Linked DNA regions of Lepisosteus oculatus. The main gene of each other region encodes a partner of the protein of the gene in region 3 in a complex. Links are inferred from orthologs where the notes say so. Each region holds a gene or a part of one and is shown on either strand. Other genes may lie near its edges. The genes, in order: mediator of RNA polymerase II transcription subunit 13-like, med13a, med16 and ccnc.

Region 1 (8,165 bases), on a different chromosome or scaffold from region 3:
CGCTGGCCAGGGCCTTCTCCGACTTCAGTGAAAGTCTGTGACTTGTTGGAACACGCAGGCTTGTAGTGTTGTCGGTGCGGGATGCGCTGCTCCTCCCAATTCATTTTTACTTTAATCCAACCACATATTCACACTAACTTTTAGTAGTAAATATTTCTCACTACTGAAGATACCTAGTCACAACAAGAGTTTAAGGAACACAGAGACATAAACTCGAAAGCCCCTCACACCTTATTTAGTGAATTAATTGATTTCATGCAGTAAGCATTCTTATGAGCCTTGAACCTAGGCTGAATGCTATTACAGAGCCTAGGCCACTTTGCCTTGGGTTTACTGTACACATTTTTGTCCTGCTTGTGACGATACCCGTTACTACTGGTTTGTAAATTCTGAGTGGTGAGATGATGTGTGACAATGCTAGAAACCCCAGCACTTGTTTGCTTAAATTATAACAAGGGAAAAGTGAACAAAATCTAATCAAGTTCTCACTCAATCATGCGATTTCAATGCTTAAGCACTGTTGAAAATTGTCACTACTTTTCTAATGGGATGTTAACAGCTCCTTGTCACTTCTGCCTACTAAGTCTATGGTGACGGCAGTATCAATGCCACCTGCCTGTGGCTTCCAAGCCCTGTTCTCTCATTTGGACTCAAACTAGCAGCGTCTCACCCTTTTCTTGCCATGTGAATCAGTGGAGAAAGGGCGGGTCTTATCTCGCCTTGCCATTGAGGTCAGCAAACTCAGCCACACATCCTAGTGAGCATGGCTTGGAAATCCAGAACAGGGAAACCCTCACAAAACTGGGCACTGCTGGAACTCAGTTAGACATGCTTTCCAGCCAGAATCCCCCCCAGGTGCTGTGTGGAGTACAGAATCAGTCTGCCAGTGAGTGCCCCTCAGCTCCAGGTGACCAAACCACATACGAACCCTCAGTGAAAGAAAGCCAGCCCGTTGGTTCGGTACGATATACTTCGGGTATTGTACTATAGCTGCTGTAGAAACTGTTCTTATTATCATACTATCATTGTCATGGCTGTTGTTAGTCATTATGGTAGATGCTAATTTGTTACTATTATCATTATAATCATTATCATGAGTAGCATTATTCTTGCTCATTAATGGTGTTTGCTGCCAACACTAAGTCTTTCAAAATTCCCCCCCAGAAGTTCTTATTGTAATGCACAAGTCTAATGCACCAGACATTTGAATGAAAACTTACACTCTGAGTAACAGTTTTTTATCTTTGAGTTTGTTCAACCATATTTATATTCTAGGATGTAGGATATTATGAATGTTAACGCGGAAGAGTCTATCCACAATTGTGCTCGCTGTATTAGATGCTGCATTAACTTCAGCATCTGAAACTCTCCGAAACAAAGAGTTTTCTTTTTTGAAGCATACTGATCTCTTTACGCAAAGCTGCATCACTATGCAGCCTTTGATCTTTTCGAGGTATTCAGTTTTAATTGGAGAATTTAACACTACAATCCGCTGTTCAGTACACTGATCCCTTCTAATCATTACTTTCGTGTGTGCTCCACTAGAAACCTGCGTATTGCACAATTGTACTACCTGAAGAGCAGATTTGATCCAGCTTGTCGAGTAATGACATCCTTGCTCCTCTTGACAACACAACAAGGCTAATATTGTCTTTCAGAAAAGCTGAAAGCCAAGACACAACATATTTCATACGCACATGAAGCATGCTTGGTGAAATTATAGCAATTTCCAAAACAAACCATCCCTCTTAGACTCGATTAATAACTAAATTCAGTCAGAAGGTTGCAGAAGTAGAAAATTATTACTCCCCTTGCATTCCTAGTGATTAATTTCACCCATTTTTATGTCGATCTTTACATGTGTTCCTTGGACTATGTGTTTCATCATCATTGTAAAAGCCTGTCGATCTACAGTGTTCGAAGCTAAACGGAAAATAAATAAAACTAAAATAAAAAAATGTCTGACAATATAACAACAGAAATTATTTTTAACTAAAGGCATGCACTCTTCCTTTCCTCAAGGTTACAAAGCTTAAGAAATCTGCTGCCATTGTCTCCTCAATTATTTTCACATTATTCCTAAGCCAGTGTCACAATAAAGGCTCTTCTCCATTACTGTGACTAAGTTCAGTCTGTGTCAAGTTCCCTGTTGGGTGTCTCCTAAAGTGACAGAGAACAATATTTACAATAAGGTAGTCGGCCACAGGCTACAAACCAAAACATTTAATGCACAGAAGTCAGTGCACTGATGTGCCAAAGGAAAGGTGCCTTAAATGTTTTAAATAGAAATGGTAAGAATTCATATTTGATCTTTATATATCAATCTTAAGTAAACATCACGAATGTTATCCTAGTATCCTAGAAGGACCAATACAATGATGCACAATTTCTAAACTCATCACTTTACTACAGTAAAACTGCAATTTAGTGTCAAGGTCATCACCAACTGACATAGAATACCACTAGCTTTTGGTATTCCTCCTGAGGTGAAAACTGTCAAATGTTCACTCAAGACCAACAGTCGAAAGAGCTTTTGAAGTCGGAGCTTTTGCTAACACAATAATATTAACTTTTTCAAGTTACTTTACAGACCCTAACACTACATCATTTCTATTTTCCTATACTTGTGGGGATGGATGTTTTCCCTGAACAATGTGTATTTATATCGAAGCGAATGCAGCGAAATAGAAAAGTGTACATGTGCACAAATGTTGACTGGATACGTTAAGTGATATATCCACCCATTTGTGCGAGATCTTTTTAAAGGATCAATCAGATGAAAATCAATTTGGGAACAGCAAGGAGTTCTTAAAACACTTTCATGGTGCAGCACTCCCTTGCCTTGACGGAATGAATTAAATGACAGCGTGTAAAATGCTTTGTGAGTGTGGCCTATTGAGACCAATCTGGAGCGCCGATATCCTCGGTTCACTGCCCTGTGTTAGCTAATGATTCTCTAATCACAGCACCAGCGACGGGTTCACCTTTGTACCAAAAGTACAGATCTGTCCCAAAGTGTGCCCCCATCCGGATGGCGACAGGAGCAGGCTCCCTGGGTGTACTGTAATGTGCACAGCGTTTTCGTTAAACGGTTAACGTAGTGTTACTGTACCAGAGAGAAGAGGTTGGAGTGACAGTCTTCAAGGCTCGCCCCGTTAGCCACCCAGTTCGCTGCTGCAGTCATAATCGTCCACGGACCGGGTCGTCAGTGCTGGGCATGTCGGAATCCTGGGTCGGTACCGAGACCGAGCCTCTTCGGTTCCCTTTCCACCAGACGAACAGAACTATCCACGCCGTCTCCAACACACGCTGGGTTCACAACCAGAGCAGAGGCGAGATTTGAAATTATTACCCCCCCACCCCACCCCCCCCAACGAAAATATATCGATTAAATAATATCCACCCCCCCACCACCACCACCACCACCACCACCCCCCCACGCTGTCGTAGTGAATCCGAACCGGGTTGAGGTGAAACCCCAGTTAAATGCTGTCTTTCCCCCCACTGTTTCCAGGCGTCACTCCAAGCGGATCGTATTTTGTAAATCCAAAAACGTGCTGGCCGATCGGTGCCGATCCGAAGGATTCCAGGTCAGCGGGTCCGAACCGATTCCGAACGCAACCCCACACACACAAAAAAAAAAAAAAGACAAATCCTCGTTTCGTTAATCCAAGCAGGAGGAGGGGGGAGAAGCGTCTCACTGTACATCCAAACAAGCCTTCGTTGTTGTTACCGTATTGATTAAATAACAGTGTAATCCATACACGCTCAACCTCCTTGTCTTTATTAGGGGCTGGGAAGGGGGGTGGTGGTGGCAAAAAAACTGCCGGAGAAAATAGAGGAAAAAAAAACTGATCAATAACAAAAGCGAAACACTGTTTCCATAACTTCACACACAAACCACTCCGTCCTTTGAACAGCGTTTATTATTTTGTTTCAACCACAAACAGCAGAAGGAAGGGCACTGACAAAAACGCTCGGAGTCACATACAAAAGGTGCGCGATGATATCCCGGATTGGTGAGAGGTGATGGGAGCGAAATAAATAAACATCCAGCTGGAAGCGACCGAAATATCTCTCTCTCTCTGTATATATATATATTTCTTTCTGGCGGAAAAAAGAAAAAGAAAAAGGCTTCGGTCAGGTCCTGAAGATCCTTGTTGAACGGGAAAATCTGACGAGCGCAGGAAACGGAACAGTAACGAGAGATTTTAAAAACACACACGCAGGAATAGAGATCGCATGGCTCGCAACATAATGCCCCCGTTGTGATAGTTTTTGCGAATTGTAATAGTTATTTATAGTATTTCTTACCACCAACATGCCCTGCGAGTGTAGTACACACTACGGGCAAAAGAGGGGCTGTTTTCTTCTGTTTCCACTTTGCTATAACAGGCTACAGCTGCATACTAACACACACAGACCTAGCGAAGGTTGTCTCTTCCGTTTTGTTTATAGGAGAGGAAAAACAGCGACGGGTCTCGGTGCCGAACGGTTTAATTTTCGGTTTCGACTTATGTCTGTATACATGTTTCACGCCACATCCAAGAAAAAGTATACTTCCCGTCCATCATCGGTGTTGGGGGGGGTGAAATGCAGAAAACGAGACGAAACGAGAGTTAAAAAAATCCTCTCCCCCCCCCCCCTTTTTTTTCTCCTTTTTCTGTTTAATAATGACGAAACGTCCTCCCCCAGCAGCTGAAACGGGGATTTGTTTTCAGGGAAAAAAAAGAGAAACGCGTATTCTTTACACGAATAATGATGATGATGGTGATCGGCGCCTCGGAGGGAACGATGACACTCCAGCAACGATGCCGATACTGTAATTTCGCTTTTGGCGCTGTATTCAACACCCCCGGCTAGCACCGATCGCACTAAGGGAAGAAAAACCACTGGAAACGGCGGTGTCGCGGTGCCTTAATCCTCGAAAACCAACCTCGACAAAAAGAACGGGAGATTTAAAAAAAAATAATTTCAAATCATGAAGGGTGGGTAAAAGGTTTCGGGGTAAAAAAAAAAACCCGGAGAGTTGCTAATTTAATGTCGCTATGTCTCCCTTCCCAGGCACTGTTTGTGTCTCGGTGTCTTTACTGTTACATTGCCGAGCGGAGTTGAGTGTCGGACTGCCTGCCTTCCTGCGCTCGCAGCCTCTCTCACACTCCGCCGGCCCACCGCGCATAGCGATGTAATGGCGGCGGCCGGCAACGGACTCGCCTTCCCATTCAACACGGGAGGGAGGGGGGGGTTCACGTGACCGCGGCCGAGGCTCGCTCTCGCGCGCGCGCACACACACACTCACTCTCGGCTCCGTCGCGCGCCGCTAGAGGCGCTGTCCCGCACGTTTTCCGTGTTTTTTTATTTAAAATTTGATTTCATTCTGGTGCGGCTGTCCAGCGCTTCAAACTAAAGCGACCGCCTCCCACACCCCACCTTTTTTTTTTTAAATAATATTTTCAATAAGGAGCTACAAGTTTGAACCAAACTTAGATCTTTATGCATCATTATGTAGAATCCTAATGATGTTGAAAAGGCTTTAAAAGAGAGCAGCAAGTCAATGCACCTATTTTATGTCGAACTTCATTTTGCACCCCAACAGACTTAGAGTGAAGGGTTTCCTAGAACGGACTAGCAGTCTGTGATTTTAATTGATTATAGTACACACCTTTACACGATAACTACACTATCGTCCCACTAAGAATAGCCCTATACATCTCTCCATGTGAATTTATACACGCAGTGGACTCATACTGCAGTTGTGGCTGTCCTGTCTTTTTCTTAAAACTTCCCTTTAAAGCTGAACACCAACACTAAACACTTTGTGAGAAAACACTGCTTAAAGTTTTCAATGTATCAAGACGTCATTTTAAGACCGTTTTAATTACGATCCATTTTCATTTTGAAACATAAGATGACTTATACAGAATCATTAATAAATACAAAAAAAAACCTGTAAAGCACTGCACTGATTTATATGTATACAATTGATCAAATACCCCGCTTAACTGCAGAGATACAGTATCTGTTTTTAAGACGCATTTAGAAAAATAAGAGCCCTGCATGCTTACTAAGAACTCGTCTTTGTTTTAACGCTTGCAGGCTCTTCCCACTCACAGGAACACGACTGAACCCGAAGGCGGGGGATTAACTGCCGATCCGGCAGCCTGCTCTGGCCCTGCAACGTGTAATTAAGCCGCTTCAGGGGTTTACCACGGTGTCTGCAGGTACCGCGCCGGATAGATTCCCATATTTGTGTTCCTTGCCCCCGTTTTATTTGAGGTCTAGGGAAAAAAAAATGAAAGATTTGTTCTAGGACCCAGAAGTGCGAGTTCTCTTTCTGTCCGGAGCTCTGTGACCCAGCGCTAGGAATAGCGGATCCGAGGGGGAGCTGACCAGGTTAGTCTGGGTGGCTGCGGTGGGACATGCTGACACACGTCTCGCCTACTTAAGACCTACAGTATCTGTTTCTGAAGGCAGCTATTGTGGCGTATTGCACTGCCTGCTGCCATTAGACCAGGAACGTACAGTGATATGAGTCACTGGCACGGGTGTAAAAATAGTCATGACACCCTACTGCTTTGTGATCCTTGTCTAGTTACTTGAATATCTAAAACTGAAGACTGAGGGTGGCTCTCCCATGACTAATCAAAACAACAACAACATTCCCCTGTCACACAAAATGAAAATAAAGGCTTCCTTCTCTTCACTACTAGTTTCTGACCATTTTCCACTGGGCACATATACAGTACAGTACACAACTATGAAAGAGTTAGACAATGAGAATGATGAAACCTGTGTATATAAAAAAAGTGAGGTTATGCAAAGCCTTGCTTCTAAATCTGTTCTCAGAGAAAAGTTGTCGCAAAAAAGTAAGGATAATTTGGGTTTCAGGCATTTATTTGATTGTTAATAATAAGCCTCTTTAAAATAACTAGAACTGCTCCTTCATTTTTAATGAAAGTCTTTGAATTACACTTGGCATCCTAAGTGAAGCTTACCTGCTTGTTTGTTGTGGAAATAATTCATGAAGAAAATGTCATTTGTTCCTAGAGTCTCTGAAAACCTAGGGATGAGATTAATCCTGAATATGTAAATATTGATTTCAAAGCATGCTACATTCACTACAAGGAACTAAAGGTGAAAGAATTAGACCAAGCTTAATCGTAAGCAGAATTGCCTGATTTTTCTACAGGTGCAAGAAAAAGGAGTGTATTTGAAACCTGTATTTGAAGAAGCCACCCACGTATTATCTAACTACTTTATCCAATACAGGGTCGTAGAGGAGCCTGACCCTATCCCAGCAAGTACACCCTGTACAGGACACCCATCCACTGTAGGACAGACAGACACAAACACCAGGGCCAGTTTTCCCAGAAGCCAATTAACCTACAAATATGCCTTTAGACTGTGGGAGGAAACCGCAGCACCCAGAGAAAACCCAGACTACATGCAGACAGCACCCCCAGGAACTGAACCCAGGGCCCCTCCACTGTAAGTCAGCAACACTAACCTCTGCACCATGCAACTGCAAACACACACAGAGGAAGAGAAGGGGGGCTGCAAAGGCACCAATGGTGTGTTCATGATAAAACATTGCACACATGACTACATTCAGAAGTATGACCTAGGTTACTCAGGCACACAGAGACTCTCTTTTATTTGGGACAGCACTTCATTTTTACGCTAACAGGTGTTGTAGCAGGCGTGAATAAGATGGAGCCATCTACTGTCAGTAGGAAGCCCACTGGCTGTTGTGCAGTTGTACAGCAGAGCGATTAGCGTTACTGCCTTCGACTCTGACCTTGGCTCTCACAAGCAAAGCTCAGCCTGCTCAGTACTGAGATGGGAGAGCTCCAATGAAACCAGTTTGCTGCAGTTGATGAACCTGTAGTCTTCCTGGACCTAAACGTCCTTAGGGAGACACTGTGCTGTAGCCTGCCTTTTGTTCAAGACATTAAACCAAAGCCTTCACTTTGTGAATAAAAATCCCATAGAAGTATTTGTAAGTGTAGGTGTGCTAACCCAGATGTCCTTTGGGCTTGCACAATCTTGCTTTTCTATCAGCAATCCCACTGGCGAAGCAATTGCCCTCCTGTCTATCCCAGTCTGCTGTGCAGTGAGGCACCAGGTATGTAATAGCAGCTCCATGTGCAAGATGAGCTGGTCCT
Region 2 (7,794 bases), on a different chromosome or scaffold from region 3:
CGCTTCACCTGCCTCAATGCTGCAATATTTTGTTGTCATGGAAACCGAAGGGCCCTATGATGCCAACCCAACCCGTCTGGCCTGACGTGTCACCACTGTCAGAAAAAAAAAGTTTGACCCACTTCGCGTGTGTGTCCCCCCCCCCACCCACGCTTCATCACCTTTGAGCAATTATGCGCCGTAAGGAGAAAAGGACTTGAAAATTCACAAGAAGAAGAAAAAAAAAATCGTACGGCTTCTCCGGTGAAAGCGCTGGTCCAAACCGCTACCGCTACCGCCAGCGCCGGGGTGACTCACGGCTCCTGACAGCTGTAAACAGCGCTGTCACGGCCGGCCTCCCGCTCCCATTAAAATGTCTTCCCCGGCTCCTGCAATTTTCCGAGCCGTCCCGCTTGCGTGTGCGACGACGGACGCCCTTCAGAGTAGATGGGCTCAATGGGACAGGCCATTACCCACCGGCGGGCCAATTGCCGACGACTCGACCGCGGCTCTTCCTCCAGCCTCATCGCGACGGCAGACGCCACACACATCTCGCCCAGTGATTCATATCGAGTAAACCTGCCCCGGCGTCTATTTTATTGTGACATTTTTTTTTTTCCTCCCTTCAGCTGCGGTTCAATATCTTGGCACGTCACCTCCTCCTCCCCCGAACTGAAACTTTTTTTTTCCCTCCTCCCCCTGTGCTGAATCAGGACACCACCGGTATGTGTGTGTGTGTGTGGGGGGGGGGGAGGATAATCAATATCCAACACCCCTTCCACGCATTTACAACACATACACCCCCACTGGCACCCCCAAACCACTCCATCACTCATACTTCAGACGCACATTTGGTACCGGCTCAATCCCTTACCACTCTCCTGATTGAAAATGCCTCCTAATTAGATCTGATTTTTTTTTTTTTAGGAAAAAAAAAAAGCTCCTTCGCTTTTGGCTCCCGCTGTCACGCGTGATCTTCGCACACGAGAACTGCACGGGCCACAATCACACGCAGGGCATGTGAGGAGGAAAAAGCCACCCCTCGGCGGGGGGCCACCACGAAGCAACGTCCAAGGGGACAGCCGAGAATCTCAACCATGCAGTTTAATGAGCTATCAAGCGGGATCGAGGAAAAACAACAGTTCCCAGAGGCACTTCAACAAAAAAAAAAACTTTCCTGCCTTGCACTTTCTGACACTTAGATCGCCCCCATCTCGTCGGCTTTGGGCATCTTGGAATACGGAAAACGCCACACACAAAAAAAACAAAACAAAACCCTCTTACATAATAAACTAGAAACCGAAACTCAAAAGCCTCCAAACGTCTCTAAAAGCCCGTATCCGTACCCGAGGCGTGACCCCCAAGCCCCCAGAATGAAGCGGTGTAAATGTCTTATCTGGGACAGGACCATGCATTGCCACAGCAGCAAGACGAGTTGCGTAACTCGTCCCACACTGCTCGACTCGGACCACAAACCCAGGTATGCGCACGGAAGAGAGCAAAAAAAAAAAAAGTTAAAAGACCTGTACGCAGCTACTTCCATAATTGTTTTTTAAAACAACTTCAACCCCCCGTTGTTGTTGTCGTTGTCGTGCCCTAACGAGCCCAAGTTCACAGCCTCCAGGCCAATATAGGGCATCAGGGGCCGAGGGCACCCTCAACCCGGAGATGCCAGTTATACACCCCCGGGAAGGCTGTAAACAACGAAAAATGACAAGTCTGCTCGGCAACGAACAAGCCTCCCTGCCAATAGAAATGAAACCAAAACTAACGGCTAAAAATCAGAAATAATCTCCCGACGCAGCACCCCGCAAAACAACCCCACCGGGCCGGCGAGCTTCCCCTCCAGTTGATGGGGGGGGTGGATAAGCCCCCCGACGAGACCCAGCGCATTTAATTTCCACAAAACGGCCCGGCCGCGACCAAAACACTTCGCCCAGAAGAGTTTGGACCTTCGTAACTCCTAAATACAGGACCGGCGCACCAGAAAGGTCTCGGATCAAACGCACGGAAACACATTTCTTTTTGGGAGGGGAAAAGAAAATAAAAACCAAGCCAGGGGAGGAAAATAACTGGAGTGTGTATGAGTGTGTGTGTTGGAGGGGAGGGGGGGATTTAAACGCCACAGAGACAGAAGAGATAGGGGAGAGGAAACTTTGCACGACCTGAGTAAACCTGCCTGTTTACTAGACAGCCGTGATCAAATGTTTTGGCCGGCAGCGCTCAAACCTCATCTGCACCGGCGGCCAGCCGAGACCACATCCACGGCCCGGAGGGAGAGCCGACACCGCGCCACGCCGCGCAGCCCCCCGCAAAATGCCGTTTTAATCCGGCCTTAAACTTCGGCAGTATGCAAATGCAACAGAGGGATTGATCAGCGGTGTTTGGATTGCAGTGCTCGACAGGGCCCCCAAGCCTGCGCTCCCCGCTACTGTGCTCTTTTTTTCTCTCCCCTCAGCTAGTTAAAAATGGCTGCTTTTAGTTTTAAATCTCTTACCAGACAGAATAGGTTGGAATGGCAGTCTTCCAGGCTCGCTCCGTTTGGTACAAAGCAAGAACTCATCCTTTCACATCGAGATCGACCACTCCATCGTTTCAAGTTCCCAAGAAAGAAAGAACAATTTTTCTTCTTTTTTTTTTTGTTGGGGTTTTTTTTTTTGTACGCGCGTGGATTTTTTTTTTATTTAAAAAAAAAAACCCCCCGTTAAAAAACACCTCACGCCGAGGATGGTTTTAAACAATCGGCCGGGGGAATGTAATTCAACAGCTCATTTAGATTCTCTCCTCCGTCAGCACTCTCTCTCTCTCTCCCCCTTCCCAAAAATAATCCGCCGTAAATTAAAAACAGCACCGCCACCTCCGCATCGTCCGCCTGATATAAAAAAAAAAAGAGACGCTCCTTGAGTGAGGCTCGGTCGTTTTCTTTTTTTTAAAAAAAAAAAACGGGGAAAAAAAAAGCACGAAAACGCTCTTAAAACAAAAAAAAAAACCCAACTCTCCCCCTCCCCCTTTGGTTAAAACGGTCTGGGTTAAAAAAAAAATCGCCCCTCTATTCCTCCATCGTCGCCGGATTCGGTTTAAAAATGAAAAACATCTTGTAAAAGACGATCGAAGGCTGGTGGAGGACTATATTTTTTCGGTCGTTTTAACCATTATTTCGGTCTCTGTTCCTGCTGGTTTCCATTTGAATTCACGGATTCCTTTCTTTAATGGCGGCCACAGGGACAACTCTGCCTCCCGGCGCCGATTGGCTGGCTCGTGGTCATGCGGGCTGGAAGAGGACTGGAAGTGACGGGCCCGGCCGCTAGGCGCTGCTGAGCCACCGGTCTGGACCCCCTCAGCTCGCCGTCCCGGGCGCTGCGCCCCCTAGCGCGCCGACGGCGCACTGCCGCAGTTATTTATATACCTGGGTACCCCGTGTGCGTGCGTGTGTGTGTGTGTTATTGTTGTTTTTGGTAGTAAAATAAAAATCGGTTCATTCGCAGCTGCTAGGAGGGGGGGGGGCTCTGACAGGCGTCAGGGGTGAGACGCCAATAATGATAATAATAATAAGAAGAAGAAGAATGCTGAAAAGAGAAAAAAGAAACACAACGTTTCGGCTGTGCAGTCTTCTTCGGGAGCCTTCTTTTCTTCTCTTTTCAGCATGGAGTAAACGTTTACTCGTTCCTTTGCAACCTATGCATGCTGACACAACCATCTACTTGAACTAATAATAATCATAATCATAATAATAATTATTATTATTTTGATTGTTGTTGTTGTTGTTGTTATAATGCATTTGGTTGCTTTTGTTTATTTCAGTTGTGGTGATGAAATACTAGGCTCTTCCTAACATCAAATGGACTGCAATAAACTACTTTTTTTACACCCCCCCTTCCCGGGGAAAAACCGAAGCATGGCTCTACCTCAGGTTACTGTGTTTCATTATGTGTCTGGTACCAGAACCTGTATACAAGAAATCTGGTTTCCAGTTCGCCCTGGGGTCCCAGAGACCTGTCGGGGCCAAACATTATTGACTAACCAAACGCACACAACTCTCTCCAGGATTCAGAGTGTTTCTGAGATGTTGCTTCTTGCCTCGAGAGCAGTGTTTAAATCATCTGCTGTAAATGACTGTAAAAAAAAAACCTGTGAACATGCCCACGGGAGAAAATAAATGCAAAGAACTTGAAACAGAATGAAATCCAGTAGACCCTGGCTTCGAAGACTGCTGCTTGACACCCCAATTCATTATTTATTGGTGCTGTTGTTGACGGTGTAGCTGTAGTGCTGCCATTCTTATTCCGAACAATAACCTTACAAGACGCCGCCGAGATAAGCTGATTGTCTCCTGTCTGTGCTGCTGGAAGTCCAGGTCAGCGAGGTCTGCAGGTAATTCAGCTTCGGCTGATCAATAGAGAAGCAGGGAATTTCGCAAAGAAGCTGGTGTTCACCCTGTTTAACCACAAGCCAGGCCTGAGAACCGGTTTGGTGTCTGTATCCTGGCTGTGAAACAATACTCTGAGCAGCCCCACCAGGCTCGCGAGCTGATGGTGCTGTTCTTAACGCTCGTAGTCTGGCTGCCATCTTTTTTTTTTTGTTCCACGTGTATTTCCCATTATCTGTGATTAAGTAAGTTATCATGCAATGCCATGCTTGATAGGTTACCGGGGTTATAGAATGTAATTCATTAACGAGAAGTGCAGCAGGCAGCCAGACCATTTCTGCGGGTCAAGTTGAAAAACACAAGAAACGTCAAAATAAATGTTCGGCTTGGCTAGTTTTCACAGCACCACCCGAACGAAGAAGAATGTACGTGACCTTGTATCGGCTCACAAAGGAAATACTGCAAAATATTGTACAAAAAGATGCAGTATTTGTTTTATTCTTAAATGAGCGGAGAGCAACACTGTCTTGGAATCGGCAGTCGTTTTGTGTATTAGTTTTCTTTATGACAGCTCGCACCTAGCTTGACACTATGTACAAGGCCGAGCTACTAGGTACATCTGTGTTTGTGTATGTTCCATGTTGCTTTGTCATTGTAGTGTATTATTGTTTGAATTAATCTATAAAACCTTAGTAAAATATAGTAAAATCACACCTATACTCATTGTATGCAAGGTAATACGCTTATGACCCTATGTTCCAGAAAGCAGTGATTTCTGCTGAGGCTACATTACTAGGTTTTTCAAGCGGTTTAGTGCTCAGCAGAGTGGAAGAGTTGAGTATTGACTACTGTTGTGATTTCAGTGTTGAATTGTTTTTGCGTATAATAGTCCTGTTGCGAATCACTTTGTAGAGTTAATACTGAGGCCATCACATACATCAGGTCATTGACGACACAGAGCACAGAACGAGGCTCTTCTTCAGCCTGTTCATTGTTATTCCTTGCAACAGGTCAAGGTCATCAACATTACTGTATATAGACAGCTCCACACCATATAGGAACAGGTCAAGGTTAATTCCATAATTCTGAACAGTAGAAAAGATGAAATACACAACATTTCAAGTGTGGAGCTTTCACACACCTCTAAAGGGCTTCACAGTTAGAACAGTGTGTTTTTCGCTCTTTTTATTTCTCCTTAATTTAACTTCCATTGGAGCCACACACCAGCACCTCTCCCTGATCTAACTTTGTCTATATGCAGCACATATTTGTTCCCAATGAAAAGTGTTGTATATACAGCGTGTTTTCTGAAATTTCCATTTGAGTTATCACATTCATATATCAACTTCACCGGATTGCTCAGATATTTAGTTTTTATGTTCTTATTAGAGATCACATCAGGAAGTTACATGGACGTCCGTTTAAATATGAGCACAGGAGGCTCTTCTCTTTACACTAAGGGGTGTGGGAGTACGGAACAAGCTACTCAATTAAGTTGCTGAAGCAGGAATACTGGCTTCTTTTAAGAAATACCTGGATGAGATCCCCGGTAAAATTAGCTATAACTACCACATAGCATTGATGGGCCAAATAGCCTCCTCTCGTTTGTAACTTTTGTAATGTAGAGGACAGCTGGTTATGCACATGCAGGAAATAGCATGTCATCCCATGTTTAACATCATCAATAATCTTGATTAGAAACTGATTCTTCTAAGTGAATTTTAAAAGTTAGCAGGATAAATGTGTTTTTGTCTATGAACTGGCTGCATCACTCTGCTCTCCTCCCCACTGATAGCTGGTGTGTGGGGAGCTTTCTGGCGCACTATGGCTGCTGTTGCATCATCCAGGTGGGGGCTGCACACTGGTGGTGGTGGAGGGGATCCCCATTACCTGTAAAGCACTTTGAGTGGAGTGTCCAGAAAAGCGCTATAAAAGTGTAAAGAATTTTGTAGAACCCTTTTAGGCGTTCTCTAAATGTGTTCCCCTCATAAAATAGATCTGTATTGTGCAACACCACAGAGAAGATGTAAAAATGAGATGAGAGATTTTTTTTTTACGACTAGATAAACTGCATTAAAAAGGACATGGCTTTGCTATTGTCCTCCTCTTGCAAAATCTACAACTTGTTAATTTCAATAACAAAGATCATGGCTGATGTCAGTTTGTGATATTTCTGAGGTGTGCTTCCCAACATCTGCAGTTACGAATTCTGATGAATCAACACTCAAACTGTCACAATACTCGAAAGATCTCTCATTGCAGTTTTCACCTCGATCACCACATTTCACTTCTCTGATATTACAGGACTATAGAAAATGTCTAAAAAAAATCATAAACCAGCTTCGATGTTTCAAACAAATGTTCTGAGTGGTTTGCAAAATAAAAGTGACAGAGATGTTTAACTTCAGAGCTCAGGCTTCTTTCAGGAAAAAGACAACACGGAACTATTTGGATTGTAACGTATGTACAGTATGTATACATTTCGAATCCTGTACGTACATAAGCAGCGTGGATCGTGCAAGCAGCAGGATGGTTCTGTTATCACTACATGTGCTCATAGATTAGAAACACCTACAAAGGAGAAAGCAAGAGAGCAAAAGAAGGACAGATGGTGAGAGGAACAGAGGTAGAGAACATAAAAAAGCATTGCGCATTTTAAAGTGCCAGACAAGGCTTCTCAAAAACAAATGGAAGAGGTATGCAGTAGGCACCATGAACTAACAGCTGAGGGTCCCTTTAGGAACATTTCCTATTCTATTCAAGCCCGCACCTTATCTTATTCTTGTAATTTAATACTTGATCTAAACAAGTCAGTCAGCTGAGATTAAATTTTCATGTACAATGATGACCTGGAGAACCACTTATACTGCAGGGCATGTACTGGTGCAATCGGACTAAAGTACATTGCTCAAGAGTACAGCAGCTATGTTTCCTCCAGGATTTGAACCCGCGCACCTGTAGCCTAGCACGCAGGGCCTTATCCACTACTCCATGCTGCTGTCTGACAGATGATGCCACTTGGCAACCAACCCTCAAACGCAGTGGAGACACAATAAATCCAATTTCTGAAAATCCTGATGACTGAGTGTGTTCAATGTACTGGTGGCTTTGCATTTGACAGGCAGCTGGATTTGTAGTGTTTTCCGCTTACACAACTCGTGAGTACTGCTTACACAACTCGTGAGGGGTTTATCAGATATTTACTGTTGTAATCATGCCAGGTGTGAAACAAAGATTTTCTCAACCATGGTGCTTCCACATGGGTCAACCAGTACACACCTGCAGGGGCTGCAGGTGTAGTCTTATATTCCAGATGTTGCCAGATCGGGTTAGCCTGCTGTGATCAGGATTTCTCAAGCAGTAGGCTCGATGTACCCAAACATATACTTGCTTTCACGTGAAGCAGAGACTCCCCAGGATTTGTGCACATTTGAGAAAGAGCTGTGAGA
Region 3 (7,821 bases):
CAGGGGCGCTGTATAAATGGCCGACCCTGCGCTCTGACCCCAAGCTTCTCTCCCGGTCTGTGTGTCTCAAGGAGAGCAAGCTGGGGTCTGCGAAAAGACAAATTCCTAATGCAAGGAATTGTATAGGGTTAATAAAGTGATCTTATCTTATCTTAGGACAGACGGATAAAACGAAAGAACAATTAATAGCGGCTCTGACACAAACCCGAGCTGTAAAGAAAGCTCCGGCGGCCGCGCTCACCTGCTCAGAGTTCTCCCTGGTCAGGAACTTCAGGTGGGTGACGGCAGGGTACTTGTCCTTGCGCGCGGGGTCGGTGGTGCAGCGCATGAAGAGGGAGGGCAGCAGCTCGGTGTCGATGCGGCACTTCTCGTTCACCACGCTCACGCACACCTTGTAGAACTGGACCGGCGCCGAGCTGCTGCCGTCCGTGGCCGCCACCACGATGTTGCCCCCGCCCGTGAAGGCGATGTCGGCCAGCGCCACGCGGCCCCGCAGCCGGCACAGGCTCTCGCTGGCGGTCAGCAGCGCGCCGTTGGGCTTGAGCAGCGACACCGTCACCAGGCCGCTCACCGTCACCGCCATCCAGCCCTCCATGGGCTTCCCGCCGAACAGCGTCAGCGAGGGGGAGAACTTCACCCGGGAGAACTTCTCCCCGAAGTTCGTGGAGCCCGACTGTGGGAAGCGAGGTGGTTTAGTCATCCGGTCCACGAAAATAAAACTTTGGAATCTGCATTGATATCCACAGCGAAGCAGCCCCTGGCATCGGCCTCCCTTCCTCAGCGAGATGCTACACTGTCTCCTACGCCAAAGAGGTTCTCAGCGCGGCAACCACGGCAAGGCCCAGGATTGGACTCCAGCATCATCTGAGAATTGTTTTACATGATCATCTGATGACCAGATCGTATCGCCTAACCTGCTTCAGACTTCATTTAAAACATGTGTGTGCCCGTTCCTGGCTGGCATCTTTGTATTTCCTGAGGATTTCCACCTGCGTCCGTGTAGTCTCACCACAAAGGAAACAATGATTTAGAATACAATGGTTTAGATTTTGATTTTTCAGTAATTCAAGTACAATACACAGGAATGGGAGAATTAAGCTGCCATCTTACCTTCTCCACGTGCAGTGCCAGCTTGACTCCGTTGTGCAGCCAAGACAGGGCTACAATGGGGTCGCCCTCCACGGCGCTACCCAGCGTGCTCTCCCAGCTGTTCACCAGGTGTTCTGTCATCGCCCAGCACTTGATCTGCCCGTCCCCATCAGCCGACAACAACCGGGAGCCTGCACAGCCGCAGCCACATAGACACAGCTCGCTCATTACACTCGGCTACCATCACAAAACAATCCCATAATAAGAGACACCTCAAAGATCATCTGATCCACTCATCTGCAATTAAGGCAAACTTTGTACGTTTTGGTTAAAAGATTAAAGTGTGTTATCATATCAACTGTAATGTAGACTTTTGTTTTTTGCAGACAAGACGTAATCATGACATTTGACATCAGTAACAAACCTTCTGTCTGACAACACATCTTAGCAACTCCTAAGCCACATGTGAGAGTTTTCCAGGGACATTTTAAATCTTGACGTAATGAGCAAATCATTTTCAATTTAGCCCACCTGCATCAGCTACTTTTTTAGGGCTGCAACCTACAGACTTACCTGACTGATCCCATTCCAGACAGGAAATGACCTCAGTGTGTCCCGAATTGATCGAATAAACGTCCCATGGATGCTCGGAGTCAATGATGTGAATCATGTGGGTCAGGTCTGAAAAACAGATCTCTTTAACTTACTCTGCACAGGGGCAGAAACGGCTTTCTCAGCTGTCTCACAAACCCACGGCTTAAACAAAGACCGTAGGAGATGCTGTCATGAAGTAAGAGTTTTGCCGAGGCCTTTGAACACAGTGTGAAAAACATGCAAAACACAGATCTACTTAACAAAACAGTTCAACACAAGCAGAGGACAAGATCCAGGTCTCACAGTCGATTAAGAAGTGATGAGAAAGCAAGACCTGCAATTCTGTACAGTTTAGGTTGGCTTCAGGGCGAATCGGTTATATTTCTGACAGGGCTAGCCTGCTTACCCTTTTCTTCTTCCTCATTTTTGAGGTCAGTAGTGAAGGCGAGGAGGTTTCTGCAGGACCAGGCGCACACAAGAGGGATAGAGGGGCAGTGATTGCTTTTAGGCCTCTTCTCCCACTCACACACGTAGGCAATATCCATCCTTCGCTCATGGGGTTGTCCTTCACTGCGGTGTCAAGGTTTTCTTCTTGAAACAATTTTACACACTTCCAGCCTAAAGTAGAAACATGCCAATAACAGAGATGATTAAACAGACATCACTGAAAGCGCTTAGAGTTTTGATCATTAGAGCTTATCATTACGAATATTAATCAACGTTTACTGTTGCAAAATCTAGCTCAGTATAACCCGTCAATGTGTGAATTTGAGTATTCCATCTTACATTTATGCATAATCTTAAAAAACAACCCTAATTCACGTCACGTAAATGCTCAAAACATATGCATTCACCAAACTTTATGAAAATATAACAAGTTGTATACACTAACTAAATCAAGAACTACAGTATTAGCTACCGGTTAATCATGCCCACACGCCGTCGGTTCTAGATGTCTCTCAAAAGGAAGATAAAAGAACCAATAACCACAAATCTCTCTTGTTTTATAAAGTAAAAAAATACAAAACTAACAAGACACAACATTGCTCCCACACAACATAAGGTTTAATTTATCCTTAAAAACACATCTTTACAATTTGAGAAGCAGCTTTACCAAAAATACGGAAGGACCCCACTCTCATTAAGTGAGGAGTCCATCAATATGCCTGTTATTATTACAAACAGGCAAGCTTTAAAATCTACGTGGACGTCGTATTCCTTTCTTGTTGTAATAATCAAGAACGGCTATCTTTTAGCATAAATACCTTAAACGCAACGAAAGCTCCGTTTTCACTTTGTTTTGTTTCTCAAGGTGGGGAATTTGAGGCACATACCAAGGCGACTACGATGGGCAAAGCCCTTCTCGCGTCAACTGTTATTGTCGTGGTTTTAAAGGGCCCGATCTTTCATAAAGCGCTTGCGGGTATTGTTGGAAAACTGAACAAGATTTGCAAAATACGAATAATTAGGAAACGTAAACAATTTTCTGAACTAAATAAAGTCGTCCTTCAGCGGGGTTTTCAGGTCCATTGGAACAAACGTGACGTTTTAACCATAAAAAAACAAGTGTTCAACACAACGATCAGCTACAGGATATCCCCTTTTTTTTATTACGACGCTCAACACGAGTTCAGCTTTTCGTGTATTATTATTATTATTAACGGCAGCAACACATAGCGCTCAGTTAGGATTTTGTGTTTAATCCGGCGATCGTGAAAACGGCCGCTTAAACAGCACAGTAAATCGCTCAAATCCTAAACGAACAGACTGATTTAAATGTAGCCATCCCACCTCTAGCGGCCACTGTCCCCCTTTCTGCTCCACGTACAGCGCGTTTCCTCTTAGGGCTATATGTGTATGTGTGGTTTTTTTTCCGTGGTAGCCAGAGAGAAACCAGAGTATAGAAAATGGCAGCAACAGCAACAGGGCAAGGAAAACAACAAGCAGAAACAGAAAAACCCTGAGCCAGCGACGGAACCGCGGCGCCTCCGACGTCGGCAACAGAGAGGGAAGCCGGGAGCCTAGTCCGAGAGCCGGGGCACTAGTGAGCCTGCGACACCGCTGTCGTTGCCTTCGTCAGTACAGCAGCACGGAAACATCAGTACTTTCGAAATATAGCAGTTTAAAGCAAAACGCATAAGGACACTGTCATATGGGCTGTTTTCAGTTGTTTTTCAGTAGAGGCTGGATACCCCAAAGATGCGGGGGAGTTCCGCGGCTGTGTGGGGTTGCGATGATTGAGTAAAGAATGTGGACATATGGTTACTCCTTAGGCCACTGGGACAGGCTTTTATAGTAGGCTGGGAGTGAAAGACATTTTTCTTCGCATTTTTGTTTTTGTATCTTGGGAAACGTCCCCTATTACGGCACCCCTACTCGGTCGGCGTGATTTTTTTTTTTCGTTTCGTTCATCGGCGGTCCGAGAAATGGTGTCGGAAGGGGGCGAGTGGACTATATCCCGCTGAAAGCCAGGGCTTGTTTATTTGAGCAGCCTGGCGGCGGCGTCGTCGTCGTCGTCGGCCTCGTCCGTGCGAGTGGTACAGGGGGGGAAAAAGAAAACGCACGCAGCCCGAGCGAGGGGGGCGGTTTTCAAATCTTCCGGGATCTTTCGCCTCCAGCTTCAGTTTCAACTTGGAATTTGTCGCCGACCGCTCCGCGACCATGTCTGACAACCAGGGCAACGTCAACAACAACAACAACCCCATAAATAACAATGGCGGGGCCAACCGAATACGGAACCCCAATATCAATCAGAACCCGCTTATCAATGTCCGCGACCGTCTGTTTCACGCCCTCTTCTTTAAAATGGCAGTCACCTACGCCAGGCTTTTCCCCCCGTCTTTCCGAAGGATCTTCGAGTTCTTTGTCCTCTTGAAGGTAAGGCTCAGGCACCCGGGTTTGCATGCCGGAACTCCCAGTTCCATTGCTCAAGTACAAACGCAGCTGTAGCCCCGCCACCCCCTGACGCCGTTTCGCCTGTCGAAACCTGTAGTTGAGGCCTCGGCCGCTTTTTACAAGGGAGTCCCCCGTGGTCTGGGAGATGGTGAAAAATCGAGGCCCGTTTTTACGTTTGCCACAAACTCCTTTTGAGTCTTGCTCTGGGCTCATGCCGTTTGCAGAGGTTGGAATGAGAATGGCCTGTGCACGTTTCTCTTAGCCTCCTAGCAGATTTGATTATTTTCTAAAAAAAGGCTGAAACCGCGACCATCTTAATCTAACGTGGCATGGTTTCAGTGGTGATGGTTTTTTTTAATGTACAATAGTTCCTTTCCAGGACTTTTGGACATGCCTGCAGTTGCAATGATACACACTAATTGGTAAACACAAGTGGTCACACATTCTTAACATGCCTCGGCACCAGCATAATAGCTTGATTGTAAGTGTATGAGATGCCTGCTTTGAAAGTCTGACGTAGGGCGGCAGTAGGATCAAATCCACCAAGCTTGACAGGCCCTCATCTGGCTCTGCAGTTTTCACAAACCAAACTTCTCGCAAAGGCTAAAAGATACGGGGCTTGTCGCAGTATCATCAAGCAGAAAGCACCTGCCTGGGTTGCAGTAGGCTCAAACTGGGTCATCCCACGTCTTAGCCAGCTGTGTAACTGAGTGCCTCAGTGGAACAAACCCCTAAATATGCCAGGCAGGTTCTCAGGAATTGGACACCCCTGTCTGAAAGCCATTAGAATTCCCCCCAGGCTTGGTTGAATAGAAGAAGAAATGTAACAGGAATGAGCACTGAAATAAGCTGGTGCATTTGTGATTCACCTCCCTGTTGACATTGCAATCTCTGACAAGAATATAAAAGGAGAATCAACTTTTTTTTTCTTGGAGGGTGGGTATATCTAAGCAAACTTCCTTTTGCCTAGGAAATGGGGTATTATGTAAAATGCCACTGCAAGTAAATGATAAGTCAAGGGCTCAAAGCAAACCAAGAAAGTTTTACAATTATATATGTTCCCAAGTGATCTGCAGCAGTTTAAGTAGAACATTTCTGATTTTCAAAGCCTTTAGGCTGCTCCTTTCATCCTGTATTATGACATAACCTAAGGCTTAATATAAAACCTACACCAAATAAATATGAAGCACTTTTCTATAGCAAGGACTGGGGACAATATTAAATTGCCGTGAAATGTAATAGAACTGCTCTCGGGTTTTTATGTGGTGGGGAAAAGCAGAGACTACAAGGAGAATTGCTGATATTTAAAAAAAAAAACTTTTTTCAGAGATGACCTTAGGTTTATAAATTTAGAAAGGAGTGAAGCAAATTGACAGTTGCACACTAAGCTATATTTTGATCAATATCTTCCTGTTTTTATATTTAGTACAATTATTCCATTATGAAAGGTCTCGGTTCTTTTTTCTAAAGCAGCATACACCAAGAGTTCCACATGACTGACAGAAGAGACCAGTGTATGGAAATGGATTTTAAAAAAACCTGCACACCCTGTCTGCTGCTCTAAGATGGCAGTTTAACATACAGGCTCCTTCATTCATTAATTCATTGTTTAAGAAAAACTCTTAATCTGTAGTTATCAGTGATATCTTATGAAAGTTTATTAAACACAGATTCATGCGGCCAGGTAGTATGCGTACAGGTGAGGCTAGGGAGAAAGGGTCATTCATTGCTATATGTTTAAAAACCTCACAGGATGTTCGGTATATCTGGACTCTCATCTCCAGTTTTAACTCGGCTGTTTCACTTTGATTACTAGTGTTCAGCAAACGTCTGATAGATGCCTCCAATACGTGCACATTAATAAATAATATTAATCTAATCTGATTTAGTGTGGTAGATTTTCAAGCAGGGGTCTGATGAAATTCTCTGGTGGTTTACAGGGACTGTGCTGGGGGTTTCTGGAAGGGAATGAAGGGATACCTTTCACTGTCTGTCAGTTTGTGTGCAAACTGAACACTCTTCCATGGTGAACCTGCTCTGAAGATGACTATAGTGGCTGTATTGTCCTGCTCTTGTACCTCCACTATTTTCATACTGGCAGGAGAGTCATTTGAAATAGTTGTACACCTCCGTTAGATCTTAAAGTGATCTACTCTGTGGTTCATGGCCCTGTTCACACCAGCTTCAAAATTAGTGGGATCAATGCTGAGCTGTCAGTGTGCAGTACAAAATCAAGCATTCACGGATGCATGAACCACTAACCCACATGCAGTTACTTTATGTTGGGGAATTAAATATGAAGGTCGGTGCATGGTAGAATTGTATAGATTGATTGAATAAGCTTTTAGCACAAATGCTTTGAGCACAATCCAATGTGTGCATAAGGTAATAAATTGTTATAGTGTTGAGCTGTGAATGAACGCACTGTGTAGGAATCTGATTTCTGTTTTGTTTTGATTTAAAGACTAACCAAATTCCTGAACTCAATCAGAATAATTGATGAAGCTTCAGTTATTACCTTTTCTGCTTTGTGGTAGAAAACCAAATAACTTGTCAAAGAGCAGCCCCAAACAATGCATGTAATTTTTACCCAGTAAAAAAAAAATTTTAGAAGTGTTTTGAGCAAACTTTGTACAGTATGTGAAGAACTTTAGGCATTCTTATTTTTTAATTGCGCTAAATATGGATTATACTTACAGTCTTTGGGTGAAGTCCCAGACAGGCAATATAAATTAGATCCCTTACCTGTTTTTAGTGGAACACCTGGAGCAGATGTTTTAACATTATTAGGTATAGTAAGGTAAAAACGGTGCAAAATAAAAGTACTGAGACTGTTTAATTACACAGGCCTGTTCTATAATTTTAAAACCTACAGTAAATATGATGTCCTGTGATCCAGTATTGCTATCATCAGTAGCTTCAGAAGTTAAAGCAGGGGATTAAATGGACTGCACATCACTCCTGCTGTTGAGCAGTGCAGCGAAAAGCTTTGAAGCGGTTTGTCTTACAATTAAACATACAGTTGCATTGTCAGTGATTCTGTTGGTATTATAGGATGATATAGTTGCGTTTGTGCCCAAGCTATATTGTTACAAAAGCCTCCAGCTAACTTTTACAGAGCAGATGAACAGTCTTTCGGTTTTGTGCATGGAGCAAAAGTGTTGACAGAGCTCAGCAGTCTGCTATGATATTCCAGCACCACAGCACAGAAAGGGATTGTTGTCTGATCAGGCTGTCAGGTGC
Region 4 (8,248 bases), on a different chromosome or scaffold from region 3:
ACATCCGCCATTTTGGATGCGACACCGAGGTACCCCCGGTACATCTTGAGGTACCCCAAGGAGTTCTCGTACCCCTGGTTGAGAACCACTGACTTCGACTACTAAGTTTGAAGCTGTATACAATGTGTGTGGATAAGGCTGAAGCACAAATAGAAAAAGATTAAAGCAGAAAGAAAAACAGCAATATCATGTCCCTTTCACATCTATCAACTTATTGACAGAATGTACCATTCGCAAAAAAGATCTGCAGTTTCCAATACTCTTCTTCTGTCAGAAACTTCAAGTCCTTCTGGCGTTCCTTCATCAAATCCTGTTTGTCAAGGATCCACTGCAAACTAATGACAAAAAAGTGGCAATCAAAAAGGGCAACATAAGTATATTAACAGTCTCGCTCATAAAAAAGACAAGACGCAGCTGATATAGCCAGCTTTTTTTCCTTTAAAGGGTTTGATATTTTTCAAATTCTTCCTCAACTGCTTGATTATGTACCAATTTGGAAATAAACCACCAATGACAATCCATTTACAGGATTAGAACATGTATCAGAACGTCTACAGCAGAAACAAACACAGGAGAATTTGACACCACGGGCCTGTGCTTCATGCAGGGCCCGAAAATGATTGAGAACCTATGACTTCAACTATCTGAGGATCTGGACATTTGAATAAACCTTTACACAGTCAAGTACTGTTAGTGGGTTAACTGGTCATAACACTGGAATTTTTCAACTAAAGTATTCAACTCATTTCATAATAGGTATTTACAAATTCTTCATTAAAAATGTGGTACTGGATAAGCTTTCAATGTAATACTTACAGGAAAATTAACTAGATTATCTATTTAGGGACTGGATTGTTCCATTTGTTCCTCATGGAACACTTTAACAAGGTCGTCTGAGACATACTATTGGCATCATCACCAAAACCCTTATCCCTGCTTTTTAAACAATTCTATAAACCATGCCCTCTATGCTAAACTAAAAAGCACTGTGTGATATACAGAGAAAGAAACACTTTGCAATTTAACAATGGGATAGGTAAGAGCATAAATACTTTTGTGCTTTACATAAACCCTCAGCAAACTGTTTTGCATTTATGCCATGTTAAATCCAACCACATATCTTCTGGCAAGCAAGGGGCACAAAGAGATACAACCTGGATGGTACACCTGTCCATTGCAGGACACACACACACTCACGCTAGGGCCAACTACCCTGCCAGGATGTCTTTGGACTGTGGGAGAAAACCTATGTGAACACAGGGAGAACATACAGACAGCAGCCATATCACCCTGCAACTCACAACCGGCAGCCCACTGAAGCTAATGTGACGGCTCCTGGGGTTTCCGCCCTTGCCACACCTGTCCTGCCCGTTCTTCCCTCACTGCCTGGGCGCGAACCCGGGTCTCCAGAGCCACACAACAGGGAACCTGCCGGCTGAGCTAAAGGAGAACTCCCTCAGCCCGGGAGGCTGAGATCCCTGTTACACGCAGGGTTACACTAAGCAGGTGTGAGCCTGGTCAGTACCTGGATGGGAGACCCCTGGGAAAGACTAAGGTTGCTGCTGGAAGAGGTGTTAGTGGGTCCTAATGCCCCAGTATAGTGACGGGGACACTATACTGTAAACAGGCGCCATCCTTCAGATAAGACGTAAAAACCGAGGTACTGACTCTCTGTGGTCATTAAAAATCCCAGGGCGTTTCTCGAAAAGAGTAGGGGTGTAACCCCCATCTCCTGTCCAAATTTCCCATTGGCTCTTACCAGTCATGGCCTCCTAATAATCCCCCTCTATGAACTGGCTTCATTACTCTTCTCTCCTCCCCACTGATAGCTGATGTGTGGTGAGCATTCTGGCGCACTATGGCTGCCGTCGCATCATCCAGGTGGGGCTGCACATTGGTGGTGGTGGAGGGGAGACCCCATTACCTGTAAAGCACTTTGAGTGGAGTGCCCAGATATGGAGTGTCCGCTATGTAAGGGTTAGCAATTAATTATTACACAAACTCCACGCAGATAGGAGCCCAGAAACTCGACCCAGGGCTCTTCAGTGCTGCAAGGCAGCATTGCTAACCACTGTGCCACCATGCTGCACGCCATTTTAAATCAAAAGATCAAAACCACTCATAGAAAAAGGAACCCTGATGCTGCAGTAGGCTCTATCCAAGGCGAGGGACGGGAGGTAGTAAATGTAGCAAGCAGTGTGCAAAGGAGAAAAATAAATGCTGAAACAACACACATATACTGTACAATTAGCTGGTTGCCAGATACACCTTGTGGAAGGACAAATAAAAAATACACGCTTGGATTGCGTGCTCTGCAACACTAAAACCCAGAGAAACCGACTAGGTATGTAAAAGGTAGCTATCTGAGGCGACACAAATCGTTTTAGGCCTCTGCATTATTCGTGAAATGTAATCTCTTAATGACGTCACATCTGTTGTGTCTTGTGCTGTCGGGTTTCTATCAATGATTTTTTTCACTTAGGAATGAAGACAATACATAGAACAGTTGCAGAACACATATAAGAACATGCCAGAAAACCACACGCATGTTTAAGAAAATAGGATATTACAGATACTACTGGTGACCAAGGGATAAGAGAAAAATCATTAAAACTACTTTGAATTTAGAAAAATATAGTACAACACTGAAGCCATAAAATTAATATTTTTATATCGAATTAGTGCCTGATGAAGGTTAATAATTACTAAGTTATTTCGAAATTCATTAGTACAGACACTTTATTCGGACAAGATAGGATAAATAGTTAGACTGGAAACGCGAGTGTAAAATCTCGATATTAAACAAGTGTTAAGTGCATGAAATCGCCCTGAATTTAACACGTTTTGTCTAAAACCAGTTTCAGATAAAAAAATATTAATGAAACTGAAGGTCTTTTAGGCCCCAAGGAAAGAAAGATTTAACAGACCGCCGTAGTTTAATATTGTTTAATCAAAAATGACTTACTAATGTGAGCTCTGCCAGAAGTTTCCTGCCATCACTTAAAAAACGAGGTAGAAATTTGGACTATTTTCCTTTTCTCTTTTCAGGAAACCTGGATATAACCTAAAAAAATAACGAAGTAATTATTCCGGCGTTTGGTTTCCTAACGTGCAACGACACAATCACTCCGACTTCGTGTGCACTATGTAAAACCTTCCTACTCTAAAACCCATTGTGCTGTGCTTAATAGGTCCGGTGTGATAAGCTCCTTTGCATTCCTCGACTATTAGACGCATGAAAACGTATGTATTGCATGTATAATTATCCAAATGATATGTTTTCCAAATCTGGACAAGATTTTAAATATATTTTATCTAGATATAACTTTTATCCAAAACGGCTTACTTTAAATCTATTTTTACAAGCTATGCATTTTAATGAAACAATTTCAGTAAAGTACCATGCTCAAGAGCACACCTAAAGTGCCCACAAAATTCCGGTTTAATTTTAATTCTGTTTGCATCAATTTATTTTCTCTTTTTCTCACTGTCACTCACTACTTGAATATTAGGGACAATACATCTCTGTGAGCTTGCAAACCTGCAGTCCTGTTTCCACCTTCGATAATACAATACATTATAGGAGAATATTATTATTAATTTAAACATATATTGATAGCATTCTGTTTTATAAAGCTATATCTTATCACCTACATACCTTGTGTGGGGTGTTGTGAGGTGAATTATTCAATGATAATTACATATGATGGATTACATATCACTCTTCCATCTGATTTCAGTAACTAATTCATCCTTCATTCAGACAATGAATGGTTAATGGTGAGCTGGAGTCCAAACCACCAAAAACAGAGTACAATATGGGGCTACACCACGGACAAAGTGTCAGTCCATCGTTGTGTATAGTTATGTACAATCTCACCTCATGCCCGTTAATCTGGAAATGTCCCTGGACTGTTAGAGGAGATCAGAACACCTGGTGAAACCCATGAGAATTTAGGGAGAAACCCTCCTCATAAAAAGGTGCCCTGGTTCAGAATCAAATATAGCAGCCAGCAGTCCTTCATGATTCCATTCATTCATTCATTTATTCCTATGAGGGTGTTTCAACAAATAAGGCAAGAGTTCCCGAGGTATGTATGCATAAACAGCAGAAAATGTTGTAAACATAATATCCAAACCTGTCTGTGCATGTGTCCCATTATAACACATATAGTAGATAGAAAATCCTTGAATCTGCTGGAGAAAAGAGTTAAACCTACCACTTTAGGTTTAATTCATCTGCTGAACAGATACTTCTTTAAGAGACCAAAGAAGTGGAAATCTGTGAGTTCCAGATCACAGCCTTGAGATCTGCTGTTCTTGCACATTCCTCTCACAATGCCACAAGTGTGGTTCACAGGGTGTGACCCTTTATATATGTCAGATCTGACATATATGTCAAGTGTCTTGAGATACTTTGAGTAAAAGGCACCATATAAAACTTAAATTGATTGATTGATTTGTTGGTTGGTTGGTTGATTGATTGATTGAATCAATGAATGAATCAATGAATGAATCAATGAATGAATGTTGGCTGACTGGTTGGTTGAGATGAACCCAGTCCTGATTGGATTTGTCAACACCTGTCAGTTGCTTCAGCACTCATCAGGTGCACACTTCTTCAGTACTCCTAGTGGGTACAACCTTCACCTGTACTGTATGTCTTGTCTACATATTAAATATGTGTAAGTGATCGTTAACATCAGCATGATTAATGTTGCTGCACGCTGGGATAATTGCTACACAGCCAGACATATTTAAAAAAAACTTGCCCTTTAAATTAGAAAAGTCTAATTTCAAATTATAATTTAAAGAGAGAAATATTTATCTGTTTACTGTTCATCTAGCACTGTTCTGGGTTTAGCATACAGAAGATATAAACATTCAAAATTACTTTATGGTGTACTGATATATGGAAAAATATATTTTTCTTTTTTAACAAATCATATTTCTCTTAATAGCATCTCTGTTGAGATCATGTTCATTAGCATGTGACACAATATGTCACATGTGACGCGTAAGCATTAAGAAATAAGCAATCTTATCACTGTAAAAAACAAAATAGGGATCTGTTGTAAGGTCTGGCCCCTCAATACAATCATATTCTCACAAAATCTTTGAGCGTCGATTACCAGAGAAAAAACATTGTGTGATGTTGCAGGTTGGTGTTTAAACTCATTTCGGATTCATTCACATTATGGGGAGACAATGCCCTTTGCACCTTCCACATGGGTATAAGAGCTGACATAAGAGGAAAGAATCTCTTGAGTGCTTAAAACAATCACAGGGACTGCTCGTCCTCTCCTGACACTGTGCTGCTAGTAGGAGTTGTGGTAGATCTCCCTGGGAGCAATAAGCAGTTAATATTCAACGTCTATTTCCAGCAACAATAGGGCCACACTTAAAATGGTTTAAATATTACTTCAAAACTCGAACTTAAAAATGAACAGATACGTTTTTTTATTCTTTTAAAATGAATAGTCTGTTAATTGGGAACTGAAAGGAAGTGAAGCTGACCACACTATAGGACCACGTTACCATGCCCAGTGCATAAATGTACTTGTCTTTTTCAAGGTTTCCTGGAGTTTCACTAGGTCTTATTGTGTCTTTATAAGCCTCTCCACCCTTTCACACCTAGATTGTAGGGTGTTGTATTACACTTGATTGTGCTTTTAACGTAATATAACAAACCAAATGTTTATAAGAGTTATATCAACCAAATGGTAGGTTGATTTTGAAAATGTTTGAGGATTTGGAGGAATGTCTTACACAGCACAGAAAATTAATCTTTTATTGTAGAAGCAACAAGCAGTGTGAATGCTCAAGGTTGCCAAGTTTCAAATAAATAATTATTTGACTATGTGAAAAACATACATACAGCATAGAGAAAGATATTGTCTTGGCAAGTCAGCCAGACCTATTACAGGAAAGGCAAAAGAGCTTTCCCTCTAACTCAAAACAGGAGGAGTCGCAGTAACTTTACAAGCAGCAGATTAAATTCTAAAATGCTTTCACTCCTTCGGGTATTTCATTAGAGGGCAGATGGATTACTTCATGCAGTTCGTAAATATATACACCTGAAGTAAAAACAAAAGAAGAGGGACACATAACATAAAGAATCTACTGAATGAAAAAAAACCAATCTCATCATTTTGCTGCTCAGGTTGAGCTAAAAATAGAAAAAAAATGTTAGTCAGATTTAAGATGGTAAATTTTAAATCAAGGGAATTTTTGTAAAATCTGTACATATCTTGTTTGGAATACCACGTACAACTTTGGTGGACACCTCACAAAAATTACTTTGCAGCTTGGGACTGGGAATAGTGTCTAGATTACTGATCTTGAAGGAATGTCACACAATGACAGCTTAGAGGAACTAAATATCTTTAGTGCTAAATAAAACAGGTCACAAGAGGTCCTGGCAATCTTTACCTTGAGGATTTGACCAACTCATTCTAATGGGACTCAAGTAAAAATTAAAAAGAAGAAGATGTCTGACAACAAGACACACTTTTCAAAAGTCATGCGAATGTGTAACAAGCTACCCAGCTGACCTTGTTTTTGAGAAGCCAAAGCTGAAATTCAGATCAACAGTCTACCAGCATCTCTATAAATTAACTGGACCTCCTTTTGTATGCTTTCTTACATTCATCCAGATATACTTTCCATAGCTGCTTGCTCTCTTCAGAGGGTCTTTTTAGGTTTTCCATAAGGTTCAGTCTTTTGATGTGCAGATGTGTATAGATGTATATACTGTATGTATGCTTTGATATGCCCTACAGCATACTGCTATTACTGTATGTATTTAATTATATACAATATGTTGCTATTTAGTTTTTTTATCCGTGAAAATGTTTATTTTTTACTTTGCTTCGATAATGTTTTGAATGATTTGCTGATTATACATGATGAAGAAAAGAGCTAATACTTTTATAGACATTTGCAGACATCTTCTGTATGTCTTGAGATAATTAAATGTGCACTGTGAATGATAGTAAGAACACATGTGTGTCTTTCACTTATCAGTGTTCAAGCTTTACTATGATATGATTTCGACGCAAGAAATAGTCAAATACATAACGGATAAGCAGATTCTTGGTGCTATCATTCTAATTATACAGAGATTTCCAATGTTACTGTGCCAAATATTACACATATGGAAAGTGATGACAGCTGTTTAATCCACTCTGCAGAATGATAATTAAATAAAAAACAATTGTAGGATAGTCCTTCGTAGATGCCCAACCCACTGATGGAGAAGAAGGTCTGGGCAGATTGCAATTGTCTCCGCTCACGTCTTTTAATCATTCCATGCAGAAATCCCAGACATCCCAGGCTCTGATTTATTTTTTTGCTACAACAGTTAATTTTGCTTTTACTGCGCCAGTTTTCTTTTCCCTTTTCTGTCATAAATGCTAGCCCACTAATGACCATATATGTCAAATCTTCAGGGAAAGAATGCCTCACATTTCACTGTACGCTAATGTAATGAATTCATCTGTTTGCTTCTGGCCCTGCTTTGCATGCAATTAAACTTCAGTCACATCCAAAAGCATTAGATCAGCGCTGCCTAATTGGCTAAACCTTCTATTTTTAAGATATTAAACTCTTCACATGATTTTGACAAATATTCATAGGGAAGGTCAGCCTTCTTGTTGTACTTAGGCTGGAAATTCCAGAGGTGATTCCTCACGAGTGCATCAGGCCCAGGCACAAGTATAAAAAGGAGGGCCTTCGTCTGGCTGTGCAGTACAGGGTGGAAGGTGTCAGTGTCCTGAAGCAGCACAAGAGGGGAAAAAGAAGGCGAGCTGACAACATGAGCCACAGCCCAGAGAGGATGTCTTCATACCGGCGCCATTTTGAGGACAGCAGCTCCTCTTCCTACCAGGTGCGAGTGTCCAGCCCCTCTCCCCCTCGCGCCAGGGGGGCGCGGCACCGCTCTGCCAGCTACTCCCGTTCCTCCACGACCCTCAGGGCGGAGGCAACAGGCCGGAGGACGGCCTCATCCAGCCGGAGACCCCACATAGCCAGGTAGGACGGCTCAATCAAGTCAAGAGCGACGAGAAGAAGCCCAGAGGATCCGGCAAGTTCGCTGTCTCGAAAACCCATTGGCTTGACGTCTTCAAGACATGGCAGAGAGCTGACACACAGATGTCGCTCTGCAGTGTTTTTAAAATCCCAGCTCGCCCTATGGAAGTGTAGGAACTGGGGTTTTCTGGTCTCTTGAAGAAGGGGAGGGAGGGGGAAT

The links.
Region 1: med16 (region 3) and mediator of RNA polymerase II transcription subunit 13-like share a complex: the UniProt entries of both Homo sapiens proteins name them as parts of the mediator complex. The link is inferred for Lepisosteus oculatus from reciprocal best matches to the Homo sapiens genes MED16 and MED13L.
Region 2: med16 (region 3) and med13a share a complex: the UniProt entries of both Homo sapiens proteins name them as parts of the mediator complex. The link is inferred for Lepisosteus oculatus from reciprocal best matches to the Homo sapiens genes MED16 and MED13.
Region 4: med16 (region 3) and ccnc share a complex: the UniProt entries of both Homo sapiens proteins name them as parts of the mediator complex. The link is inferred for Lepisosteus oculatus from reciprocal best matches to the Homo sapiens genes MED16 and CCNC.

Annotation. Positions count from the first base shown.
Region 1 is NC_090717.1:10,604,101-10,612,265, reverse strand, and holds the start of mediator of RNA polymerase II transcription subunit 13-like, read right to left. Parts: upstream 3,382-8,165; 5' UTR 3,185-3,381; coding exon 3,113-3,184; intron 1-3,112. UniProt on the Homo sapiens protein: Component of the Mediator complex, a coactivator involved in the regulated transcription of nearly all RNA polymerase II-dependent genes.
Region 2 is NC_090721.1:4,737,471-4,745,264, forward strand, and holds the start of med13a (mediator of RNA polymerase II transcription subunit 13a), read right to left. Parts: upstream 3,265-7,794; 5' UTR 2,543-3,264; coding exon 2,477-2,542; intron 1,292-2,476; exon of another isoform or gene 907-1,291; intron 703-906; exon of another isoform or gene 144-702; intron 1-143. UniProt on the Homo sapiens protein: Component of the Mediator complex, a coactivator involved in the regulated transcription of nearly all RNA polymerase II-dependent genes.
Region 3 is NC_090724.1:3,457,490-3,465,310, forward strand, and holds the start of med16 (mediator of RNA polymerase II transcription subunit 16), read right to left. Parts: upstream 3,499-7,821; 5' UTR 3,475-3,498; intron 3,402-3,474; exon of another isoform or gene 2,949-3,401; intron 2,834-2,948; exon of another isoform or gene 2,798-2,833; intron 2,786-2,797; exon of another isoform or gene 2,603-2,785; intron 2,302-2,602; 5' UTR 2,229-2,301; coding exon 2,090-2,228; intron 1,771-2,089; coding exon 1,663-1,770; intron 1,281-1,662; coding exon 1,111-1,280; intron 674-1,110; coding exon 242-673; intron 1-241. Other genes in the region: tmem259 (membralin), read left to right, coding at 4,345-4,560. UniProt on the Homo sapiens protein: Component of the Mediator complex, a coactivator involved in the regulated transcription of nearly all RNA polymerase II-dependent genes.
Region 4 is NC_090697.1:31,785,585-31,793,832, reverse strand, and holds the start of ccnc (cyclin-C), read right to left. Parts: upstream 3,146-8,248; 5' UTR 2,998-3,145; coding exon 2,966-2,997; intron 336-2,965; coding exon 229-335; intron 1-228. Other genes in the region: desmin, read left to right, coding at 7,817-8,031. UniProt on the Homo sapiens protein: Component of the Mediator complex, a coactivator involved in regulated gene transcription of nearly all RNA polymerase II-dependent genes.